Linked DNA regions of Arabidopsis thaliana. The protein of the gene in region 1 interacts with the protein of each later gene in a biochemical or structural test. Each region holds a gene or a part of one and is shown in the gene's direction. Other genes may lie near its edges.

Region 1 (3,754 bases):
TACTAAAATAGGAGGATTTATCTTTACTTGACGAACTATAAATTAAATATCTACTCTTTTACCTTGACTTTGAAAATTACTTTTTAAGATTGCCTTTTACAATTATGTGGAATAGCGGCACACATTTACGTAAATTTAACTTCAATTTAAAACAATGATTTATTCATTTTCATCATACAAACTTTTCAGCACATTTTCTCCTTTTTAATATAATTTTATATATTATAGATAGAGATATAGATCAAACAATGTATGACTTTAAACTTAGATTGTAAATTCTTCTTACTATGCTCGAAAATTTCATCTACGTATATAGATCTATTGTAAACCTAAGTTTAAAACGGAAATCAGTTATTGATAGTAATCTAGTAAGTTTAATCAACTATGCGTTATAACATAATGAAATCATATATACGAGCTTAGATATCTAATTCAGTTAATCAACAAGTCAACTAAACAAGGCTTCACTTTTCCACACCTCTACAGATCGAAATTATTATATATTCGAATTATGTAACTAATGTAAGTCTTGCAACGTGTGGATAGATACAAAATGGATATGTCCATAGGTATACATATTAAAAATATAACTAGAAATGGTATATTACTAACAAAATTTTACCCCCAAAGGTGGCCATCCACTAGTAGCCACATGCTTATCTAGTAGACATTGAACATGATAAAAAGTGCCAAATAAGTGGAATAATCAATGGGAATCTTCATTCCTATAAACAAAAACATTTTCAAGCCTATGACATAGCTAGCTACTCTACAACATGTATATGCCAATTGGGATATAAATGTATTAAAGCATAACCATTAATTTGACAAATAGAAATAAATAGTTCAGAATGTATAAGTTGAGAAAAGTTATAATGATTGGTAGGGAGAGACTCAAAAAGAAAAAAGGATGGGTAATGGGACCTATTTTCCCCAACATCCCACATGCACACTTCCCTCTCCATTCTCTCACATTTATTTCTTTCATTCTAATTTATCCATTCCGTGTGTAACATATTCACTAATAATCTCATCTCACTAACTCATTCATTGATTGTGATATGTTTATCTAGAATTAGTGTTTTAACACTGTGTCTACATATGATTTCCTTTTCATTGTATGTGAACATGTTAACTCACTAATCATTTTGTATTTTCGAGTTAACATGAGTCTCCACTTCGGTAGACTAAAGTAAAGATAGGTTTGAGTATAATAAAGTTTAAAATTTGCTTTAAAATCAATATTTATAAATAAGTTTTTATCATAAGTGATTTTTGTATGTTATATTGGACCTTGTATAAACAGACTACAGAAGAAAATTATTTATGAGAACTTGTAATGTTAGAGTGGACCTCGTATAAACTAATTATGTGGGCTTTTACCATAAACTATTTATGAAAATTATTATGGCCCACACCACTATAACTAAAGCCCACATATTTAGCAGCCCAGTTTCATTGTAAGAGACATGTTCGCTCTGGAACTAGAATTTTCTGGTTTTTGGGTATTTGTTTTCTTATGTGTAGAGAAATGATGGTAACGATTAAATGTTGTGTATTACAATTTACAATGGTAAGACGATTAATATATTTACACACAATTTTGTTGTTGCTGTAACACGTTAGTGTGTGTGATGATAGAATTTCATAAAGCTTTAACTACGAGGGGCAAAATGTTAATTCTAAATAGTTGACAGCAGAAAAAGATATGTATACATAATATAAGGATTAAAACGTAAATAATAATAAATAAGGCGAGTTAAATTAAAACCCTGTTAAAACCCTAGCTTGAAACACATGTATAAAAACACTTGCGAGCGCAGCTTCATCGCCATCGCCATTCTCTCTCTCATCAAAAGCTTTTCTCCTTGATTTTCGCATTCTTTAGAGTCTTAACGCAAAGATGAGACCTCCTCTAACTGGTAAGAACCCTAGCCGCCTCTTCTCTTTTCTTCATTGCTTGCTTATCAGATTAACAATGGCGAGTGACACTCTTAGCTCGTTTAGTCTTTAAAACTTTATGTCTTTAGCTGAACTGATTGTCAACTTTGTTCTTTTTTGCTTAGAACTGTATTGGGTCTGCGTTAGTTCTATCGGATATAGAGTTGATGGTTGGGTTTTATGTTAAACATGGAGTCTCTAATGAATGGTCTTTTGTGTTCAGGAAGTGGTGGTGGGTTCAGTGGTGGAAGAGGGCGTGGTGGATACAGTGGTGGTAGAGGTGACGGTGGATTCAGTGGTGGTCGAGGTGGCGGTGGTAGAGGAGGAGGAAGAGGTTTCAGCGACCGTGGTGGTCGCGGCAGAGGAAGAGGACCACCACGTGGTGGTGCTCGCGGCGGCAGAGGACCAGCTGGCCGTGGAGGCATGAAAGGAGGAAGCAAAGTGATTGTGGAACCTCACAGACACGCAGGAGTGTTCATTGCAAAGGGTAAAGAAGATGCCCTTGTTACCAAGAATTTGGTTCCTGGTGAAGCTGTCTACAACGAGAAGAGAATCTCTGTTCAGGTATTATAGAGGATTGATTAATTGATTGATGGTTTGTATTTGCACTCCTTTTGATGAATTTGTTTTTAATGGTTCTTGTGATTGAATCTGCAGAACGAAGATGGAACCAAGACTGAATACAGAGTTTGGAATCCTTTCCGTTCGAAGTTGGCTGCTGCTATTCTTGGTGGTGTTGATAACATCTGGATTGTAAGCATCAGCTTGTGTGAATCTTATTGTTGTTGTTTGCGAGACTTGGTTCATATATTGATTGTTGTTCCCGTTTCAATGTAGAAACCTGGTGCTAAAGTTCTATACCTTGGTGCTGCTTCTGGAACCACAGTCTCTCATGTGTCTGATCTTGTTGGCCCTGTAAGCAGAACCCGTCCTTTATGTTGTGATTATCAGGTTTTAGACGTGTATTGGAGTTTCTTATATATTGCCTTTGTGATCTGATAGGAGGGGTGTGTGTACGCGGTTGAGTTTTCTCATAGAAGTGGTAGAGATTTGGTGAACATGGCAAAGAAGAGAACCAATGTTATTCCAATCATCGAGGATGCTAGACACCCAGCTAAATACAGAATGCTTGTAGGCATGGTTGATGTTATCTTCTCTGATGTTGCTCAGCCAGATCAGGTTTGCTTCTTTTGTTTAACTCACAATGAATGTCTAAATATTTGCCTCAAAAAGCTTGACCCAATACCATTATATGTGTCCTTTGCTTTAAAATGGTGTTTTGATAATTGCAAATGATGATCTTACTTGGATTCCCCTTCAGATCATTATGGGTGATGCAATCTCCAAGTTTCTGATGTACTGAAAATTCTTGTTTTTGTTTTTGTTAAGCTTAATCTTATTTTACTATGTACTTGTTTTACAATTTCGTTTTTAAGAACAATACTAAATTTAAATGTCTATTATTGCTCGGTTTTGGTTCTCCTGATGTTAAACCTACTTGTTTTCTAAATGCCATTCAGCTTGTGGGTTGCTTCTAGTATACTTTATACTGTTTTGTTTATGAAATTTTCTGTGCCATTTAAAACCGTGCAGGCTAGGATCTTGGCTTTGAATGCATCATACTTCCTCAAGTCAGGAGGACACTTTGTGATCTCAATAAAGGTGGGTAGCAATCGAAACATTTATTTAATCCATGATCTCTCAAGAGAGAAAGATTAGTGAACATGTATTGTCTCATTTTTGCAGGCAAACTGTATCGACTCCACCGTTCCAGCAGAAGCTGTGTTCCAGACTGAAGTGAAGAAGCTTCAAC
Region 2 (3,754 bases), 1.4 Mb from region 1:
TGAATACCATTTTTATGGGTCTGACATAACATGCTCATTCCCCGTGAGTTCTTCTAGCATCAAATCTATTCTTAATTTTCCTCTGAATTGTCTTTGCACCGCATTGACTTGTGTTTTTAATCTTGTTTACATGAACATCATAATTTGCTGAATGTAGTTATCTAGAGAAAGTGGTCTCTAATATTTATCAATTGGTGTGCAGGTCAATGGTAAATTTACAAGTGACCAGAGTCTAATCTACAATGTAAGTGCCTTACAAGATTGGTGCAACGTGGATGTATTAGAAATGTGTGCTCTATTTTTTGTCTTCGCACAATCCAGAGTTTGGTGAGTCTCTTGAAGCTTTACATCTGAATAAGTTTCTCTGATTTTGCCTTCCTTTCAGGCTGTTCTGGATGCACATAATTCTGTAATCTCTGCGATGAAGCCAGGAGTAAACTGGGTGGATATGCACAAGTAAGTCTTACTGAGATGCTATATAGCTCTGTTCTACTATGCATGCAGATGCAGTAATTGGGATTGACAATGTAAGCGTAAACTCAGTTGCTTTGGTCCATTTTGATTTATCCTCTTGTTAGGGAGATAAATTGAAATACATCTCCATATGGTTATTCAGCTTTCTTTGTCGACTGAAGCAAATTAATGTACAGGTTAGCTGAAAAAATCATCCTTGAGTCACTGAAGAAGGGGTCCATACTCACTGGGTAATTCTCTCTGTGTTAGACATTTCAATACTCTTCTCTAAAGGTTAATTCATTCTCATGGTTTCGTTCTCTGTTCCTAGTGATGTAGATGACATGATGGTACAGCGCTTGGGTGCTGTTTTCATGCCTCATGGACTAGGTCACTTCATGGGCATCGACACTCACGATACTGGTGGCTACCCAAAGGTACATCAAATCTTTTTTCAACCCAATAGTATCATCACGTAAATAAAACCACAGTCCCTGTGTCTTACCCGTTGCTTTGATCTTTCATTCTTTTAGGGAGTGGAGAGACCAAAGAAACCTGGATTGAAGTCATTACGAACTGCAAGAGACCTACTTGAAGGAATGGTAAGGGCCGATTGTTTCAAGTAGAAATGCTTTTGGTTCTTCTCATTTATCGTCTCTGTTCATTGTCCTAATCGTATTTATGTCAGGTAATAACGGTGGAACCAGGATGCTATTTCATCAAGGCATTGCTGTTCCCAGCCATGGCAAACGCAACAACCTCTAAGTTCTTCAACCGTGAAACAATAGAGAGATTCAGAAATTTCGGAGGTGTCAGAATCGAAAGCGATTTGGTAATGTCAAATTCATATTCACTACAACGTCTACAAGTTAAAACACTCTCAAGAGTAATGTCATATACAATAATCTCATTTTGTTGTATATGTGTGATTTCTTTTTTAGGTCGTTACTGCTAATGGCTGCAAGAACATGACGAATGTTCCACGAGAGACATGGGAGATCGAAGCTGTGATGGCTGGAGGGCCTTGGCCACCGACCAAGTGATCGTAGCTACTCTTAGGCAGCTTATGGAAATTAAAAACTTGATAAGTAAAACTCAATAATACAACCTTTATTTTTGTTAATGGGAATAAGGAAAAATTGCCTGTGTTTTACTAATCTTGTACATGTAGTTTATTTTGTTTCAGTGTCTTGTTTGTGTGGTTGGATATTAAACCGATTGAATGTTCAAGTGGACAGATAAAATCTAACCGGTTTGGTGCTTGTCGACGAAAACCGAACCGGTACAGAAAATATCTTGAGCACAATTTTAGTTCTAATATAAAATTCATTAACAAGAGAGAAAAAAAAAACTTCAAATTAAAAGCTTCGTGTCTTCATAAAACCCTAATCTCGCGACTTCGTCTCTATCCCCAAAAACCCTTTCCTCTCTTCCTTCTTGTGTGAGACCGAGAAAAAAAGATGACTAAGAACAGTAACCACGACGAGAATGAGTTCATCAGCTTTGAACCAAATCAGAACACGAAGATACGCTTTGAAGATGCTGATGAAGACGAAGTTGCTGAAGGGTCTGGTGTTGCCGGCGAGGAAACTCCCCAAGATGAGTCCATGTTCGACGCCGGAGAGAGCGCCGACACCGCTGAAGTAACTGATGATACCACCAGTGCCGATTACTACTTCGATTCTTACTCTCACTTTGGTAAATTCCCTTTTTTCAAGTTCTATTTTTTTCCTTGTGCTCTTTGGTTATGAATTCTTACTAAGAGTTGAATTTGGTTCCACTTTTTTTTGCAGGAATCCATGAAGTAAGTATCGAGGACAAAGCTCAGTTTTTTTTGTTATAGTTTTTGTTCTAGAAGTTTAATGTAATTCATTGTGTTTTCTTCTGTATATATCTGATGACTGAATTGAGAATGGTATCTGACAGGAGATGTTGAAGGATGTTGTGAGAACAAAGACTTATCAGAATGTTATTTATCAGAACAAGTTTCTTATCAAGGACAAAATTGTTCTTGATGTTGGAGCTGGAACCGGAATTTTGTCTCTGTTCTGTGCCAAGGCAGGAGCTGCTCATGTCTACGCTGTATGTCTTCAATCTTTCAGTCTCTTTTTTAATAATCATAAGTAAGAAGAATCTTTTTCAATTTTGACTGATTTGATTGAGGATGTTTCTTAATAGGTTGAGTGTTCTCAAATGGCTGACATGGCAAAGGAGATTGTTAAAGCTAATGGATTTTCTGATGGTAGGTCTTTTATCCATGTTGAGTTGTATTCAAATCGATAACTTCTGTTCTGTAACATGATTTTTGTTTTATCGATGCAGTTATTACGGTATTGAAAGGGAAGATTGAGGAGATAGAGCTTCCCACTCCTAAAGTGGATGTGATTATATCGGAATGGATGGGTTACTTTTTGTTGTTTGAAAATATGTTGGACAGTGTCTTGTATGCTCGTGATAAATGGCTTGTAAGTTACAGCTCCACCTTGTTACATGAGATTCTTAGTTACCAAAACCAATTAAATGAAATCTTCTTGGTCCTGTGTTTTTATGGATAGGTTGAAGGTGGAGTTGTGCTACCAGACAAAGCCTCTCTGCATCTTACAGCCATAGAGGATTCAGAGTACAAAGAAGACAAAATCGAATGTGAGTGCATTGATTTGACACGTTTTCTCGTCTTTTTTTTTCCAACATTGATCTTGATGTCTGTTGAGATTTGCATTTTTAATTTCTTTTTTGTTGTTCTGCTACAGTTTGGAACAGTGTGTATGGTTTTGACATGTCATGTATTAAGAAAAAAGCTATGATGGAACCACTTGTTGACACAGTCGACCAAAACCAAATCGTCACCGATAGTAGGCTTCTAAAGGTATATAAGATATCATATGATGATGATTAGTAGTATCTCTTTACCTGTGTGACTAATGTTCATTTCATTATTCTTATGGGTTTGTAACAGACGATGGATATCTCAAAGATGTCCTCTGGTGATGCTTCCTTCACAGCTCCCTTTAAGCTTGTTGCACAACGCAATGACTACATCCACGCCCTTGTAGCCTACTTTGATGTATCGTTTACCATGTGCCACAAGCTGCTGGGCTTCTCAACAGGTTCAGATCTCTACAATCTTGTGCTAGCTCTGAGTATTCTATTTTTTTTTGGTGCAAAGAAATGGCATGTTATCGAATAACTTGGTTTGAAGTTTAAACATAGCACATTGTTTCATTATGATCTGAAACTTGCACTGAACAACCATATGTGTCACATGCAGGACCGAAATCCCGAGCTACACACTGGAAACAAA
Region 3 (3,754 bases), on another chromosome or scaffold:
AAGTGCGAAACATCATCGTCGTCGTCTCGTAAATCGTTGTTGTCTTCTTCGCTAAGGTTTCGAAATTGTGGCTAAAGATTCCAATTGGGTCTCCTTAAGATCCCATTGGTCTTCCTGCTTTCTCGCACATACCAAAATTTTATTATTATTTTTTTGAATATTCTCTCGCTGAGATTTGAAGTTAATTCAATATTTTATCTTAAGTCCACTCAAATAAATGTATTATATATTTCTATTTTTGAATTTATCAGCTGCAAAATTAAATTTTTACTTCAACTATGATATCAGTTTCTCAAACAAAATAAAAATAACAGTTTTTTACTCAAAAATCATTTTCTTGTGAATATCATAAATTCTTCAAAATAACATTTTTTTCAAATATTCCTCTATTTTTGAAGTTATTCGACAATTAACAATCACTTAATATATTAAAAAAAATAATTCTCTGATGTTTTAAATATTGTGAACAGATATTAAACTTTGTGGATAAAATAAATATCTAAAGAAGAATCTTGTATCAAATGCATTTTTCTCAACTTATTAAGAGCTTTACCAAAATGTTTTTTTTTCCCTTAGCTCCAACACTTCTGTTTCAGGAAAAAACTGAAAATATAAATGGATTCGAGGAAGTATATATAGTTCAAGTGAGGAATCATATGGAGGGAGTTACAAGCGTCAGGAAGAATATTCCGGCGACCTGGTTGTTTGTTGTCTCAATTTCAAGGGTAGTAGCCGGTGAAAGTGAATCCTCTGCCGACGATTTCACCTGCGCAAAACCAAGCAAAGCATTCTAAGCCAAACAATGCAGCGATTCCTGCATCTTCCACCTTCAGATTCGCTCTGTTCTTCAATAAGTTCTTTGCGTAGTCTACTTCTTTCCTAAATGTTTCGTAGCGCCCGGGAATGCTGTAGTTAGTAAGAAGAGTATTAGCTATAGACGCAAGATTGCGTATCACAGAAAGCCGAACTCTTCAACTGATAGCAAAACACAATGTGGTGCTTATAATGTGTTATCTAGACAGGAAAAACAAGACAGGCACATATATTATCCTAATCAAAGGATATTTACAAGCTCAATTCCATCGAGGACAAAAACTACTAGAGGATAACAAATTCTCAAGCATATTTTTTTCAGGCAAAAAAGGCTACCTACTCGCGAGTAATGCAAATTCAACTTGCACATTTCATCAGCATTCTCTAAAGATTAATGTTTCAAAAGTATACATAAAAGATAGTTTGAGCATGGCCATTGAAAATATGTCCATGAGATAAAGAGAGAAGAAAATGGTAATGACCTAGCAAGACGAGTGTAGAGCAATTGTTTAGACAATTCACTGCACTTCTCTATAGTTGCAGGCTCTTGGATGTATTGCTTGTTCTGCTCCAACAATTGCTTGTAGTACGAATTCCCATGCTTGGCCACAAACTTTGAAGCCTGACATGCCTTTGATTGAAGTTGAACCAATTTTGATGCCATTTTTCAATACCAAAATCCTACAAAATCATAGAAACCAAGTTTAGCATTTACCAATTGAGTCTCAGAAACTAAGCCTAAACAAGAAAGATTAGCTCATCATATACAATAGCATGGTTCATTATACACCTCCACGATAGAATTCAATAACTAAAACAGGAAACTGAAAAAATGTAATTTCAGAAGCAAGGCATCCAAAAGCATAAGGCTTTTCACACATATCAAGCTAAATCACTAAAACCCTAGTCCTCAATTCCAGACTAACAAATCGAACGAATCCGAATTATGGAAAAATTAAGCAATTCAAAACCTAAAAAGCATTATCGCAGTGAAGAGATTTCAAATTAGATCTGAGACTCAAACACATAAAAAAACAAACTTTAAACCCCTAAAAACCAAAATCCAAAAGAGCGAAGAAGAATTTTAGACCAAAATATCAGAATCTTAAACGAAATAAAAGAAGAATGAATCGGTGATCGTAAGCAAGCCATACCTTTTGGCCGTGCTCACCACTCACCACTACCAGCGTCAGAATCTTTTCCTCCAAATTTCATCTACACTGCCTTATAATTACGACAATAACCGAACCGGATCGGTATAAACCAAACCGGTTTATCTGTCAAAAACAATTGAACCGGCGGCTGAAATAGAATCATACACATAACATAAAGTTCGTATCCATCCTAAAACCCTAAATCTTTTTGCTTATTCGAATCTGTTAGCCATCCAAAACCTCTCTCTTTGCCGCAAAAAATGACTAGTACGGAGAACAACAACAACGGCTCTGATGAAACTCAGACGACGAAGTTACACTTCGAGGATGCTGATGAATCAATGCACGATGGAGATGACAACAATGCCGATGTTGCTGATGACATTACCAGCGCCGATTACTACTTCGATTCTTACTCTCATTTCGGTATAAACCCTTGAACTTTCATTATATAATGTTGCTTTCTTCATGTTATCTTATTCTCTGCAAAGTGCTTACTCTGTTTCCAATTGATTGATTTTTGCAGGTATTCATGAAGTAAGTAAAGTCTCCTGCTTTTTTGTTTTGTTTTGAATCCTTTGTTCTGAAACCTAGGCAATGTGTATAACAGTTTTTCTATGGTGATGTTATTATTATTAGGAAATGTTAAAGGATGTAGTGAGGACAAAGAGTTATCAAGATGTTATTTACAAGAACAAGTTTCTTATCAAGGACAAAATTGTTCTTGATGTTGGAGCTGGAACTGGAATCTTGTCTCTCTTCTGTGCTAAAGCAGGAGCAGCTCACGTTTACGCAGTATGTCTCTTTATCTTCTCCGTTAATCAAAGTTTGGCTCTTATTGATCTGATTTGACTAATGATTCTTAGGTTGAGTGTTCTCAAATGGCTGACACAGCAAAGGAGATTGTTAAGTCGAATGGATTCTCAGATGGTATGTATGTGTTTAGAGTGTTATTCAAATGGTTTATGATCTGATGGTAGTTGGCTGAAACAAGTGTTTGTGTTTGTTTTGTTGGCAGTTATAACGGTTTTGAAAGGGAAGATTGAGGAGATCGAACTTCCAGTTCCTAAAGTGGATGTGATTATCTCTGAATGGATGGGTTACTTTCTGTTGTATGAAAATATGCTTGACACCGTCTTGTATGCTCGCAATAAATGGCTTGTAAGTGAGAGTTTTCTGTGTTCTTATGTTGATGATGGTTTCATCATAGCTTTGAACAGTTTTGTGTGCTTTTGGTTCCTTTTGGGTTAGGTTGATGGTGGAATTGTTCTACCAGATAAAGCTTCTCTTTATGTTACTGCCATTGAGGATGCTCATTATAAAGACGACAAAGTAGAGTGTGAGTAATATGAAAGATCTTGTCTTTCTTTTTGCTAACATTTATCTTCGAAACCTGATTTTTTTGCAATCGGCTTTGCTTCTTGTCGTTTCATGTACAGTTTGGGACGACGTGTATGGGTTTGACATGTCGTGCATCAAGAGAAGAGCAATTACAGAACCGCTTGTTGACACCGTTGATGGTAACCAAATCGTGACTGATAGCAAGCTGCTGAAGGTAAGTAAGATTGTGCTGTAGTAGTTAATTACATCTCCCTAATTTTCTGTAGCTAATGCATATTCCTTTTGTTGTTGGCCTTTGTTTTTTTTGACTAAAGACAATGGATATCTCTAAGATGGCTGCTGGAGATGCTTCCTTCACAGCTCCGTTTAAGCTCGTCGCACAACGAAATGACCATATCCATGCCCTTGTAGCCTACTTCGATGTGTCATTCACTATGTGTCACAAG

What was found.
Region 2: the proteins of FIB2 (region 1) and PRMT11 form a complex in vitro, tested with the Arabidopsis thaliana proteins (one study listed by BioGRID).
Region 3: the proteins of FIB2 (region 1) and PRMT1A form a complex in vitro, tested with the Arabidopsis thaliana proteins (one study listed by BioGRID).

What each region holds. Positions count from the first base shown.
Region 1 is NC_003075.7:13,072,336-13,076,089, forward strand, and holds the start of FIB2 (fibrillarin 2), read left to right. Parts: upstream 1-1,754; 5' UTR 1,755-1,903; coding exon 1,904-1,922; intron 1,923-2,164; coding exon 2,165-2,505; intron 2,506-2,598; coding exon 2,599-2,694; intron 2,695-2,778; coding exon 2,779-2,856; intron 2,857-2,943; coding exon 2,944-3,120; intron 3,121-3,227; exon of another isoform or gene 3,228-3,300; intron 3,301-3,534; coding exon 3,535-3,603; intron 3,604-3,687; coding exon 3,688-3,754. UniProt on the Arabidopsis thaliana protein: S-adenosyl-L-methionine-dependent methyltransferase that has the ability to methylate both RNAs and proteins. Involved in pre-rRNA processing.
Region 2 is NC_003075.7:14,489,826-14,493,579, forward strand, and holds the start of PRMT11 (arginine methyltransferase 11), read left to right. Parts: upstream 1-1,796; 5' UTR 1,797-1,913; coding exon 1,914-2,151; intron 2,152-2,246; coding exon 2,247-2,257; intron 2,258-2,379; coding exon 2,380-2,535; intron 2,536-2,631; coding exon 2,632-2,695; intron 2,696-2,775; coding exon 2,776-2,918; intron 2,919-3,008; coding exon 3,009-3,096; intron 3,097-3,203; coding exon 3,204-3,319; intron 3,320-3,409; coding exon 3,410-3,560; intron 3,561-3,721; coding exon 3,722-3,754. Other genes in the region: AT4G29490 (Metallopeptidase M24 family protein), read left to right, coding at 1-43, 203-244, 386-456, 651-704, 785-890, 987-1,055, 1,142-1,285, 1,395-1,496. UniProt on the Arabidopsis thaliana protein: Methylates (mono and asymmetric dimethylation) the guanidino nitrogens of arginyl residues present in a glycine and arginine-rich domain. Type I arginine methyltransferase active on both histones and non-histone proteins.
Region 3 is NC_003071.7:8,499,588-8,503,341, reverse strand, and holds the start of PRMT1A (protein arginine methyltransferase 1A), read left to right. Parts: upstream 1-2,047; 5' UTR 2,048-2,227; coding exon 2,228-2,393; exon of another isoform or gene 2,394-2,396; intron 2,397-2,493; coding exon 2,494-2,504; intron 2,505-2,606; coding exon 2,607-2,762; intron 2,763-2,833; coding exon 2,834-2,897; intron 2,898-2,985; coding exon 2,986-3,128; intron 3,129-3,218; coding exon 3,219-3,306; intron 3,307-3,406; coding exon 3,407-3,522; intron 3,523-3,622; coding exon 3,623-3,754. Other genes in the region: PLA2-BETA (phospholipase A2-beta), read right to left, coding at 1-16; AT2G19680 (Mitochondrial ATP synthase subunit G protein), read right to left, coding at 720-906, 1,296-1,477. UniProt on the Arabidopsis thaliana protein: Methylates (mono and asymmetric dimethylation) the guanidino nitrogens of arginyl residues present in a glycine and arginine-rich domain. Type I arginine methyltransferase active on both histones and non-histone proteins. Mediates the methylation of MED36A.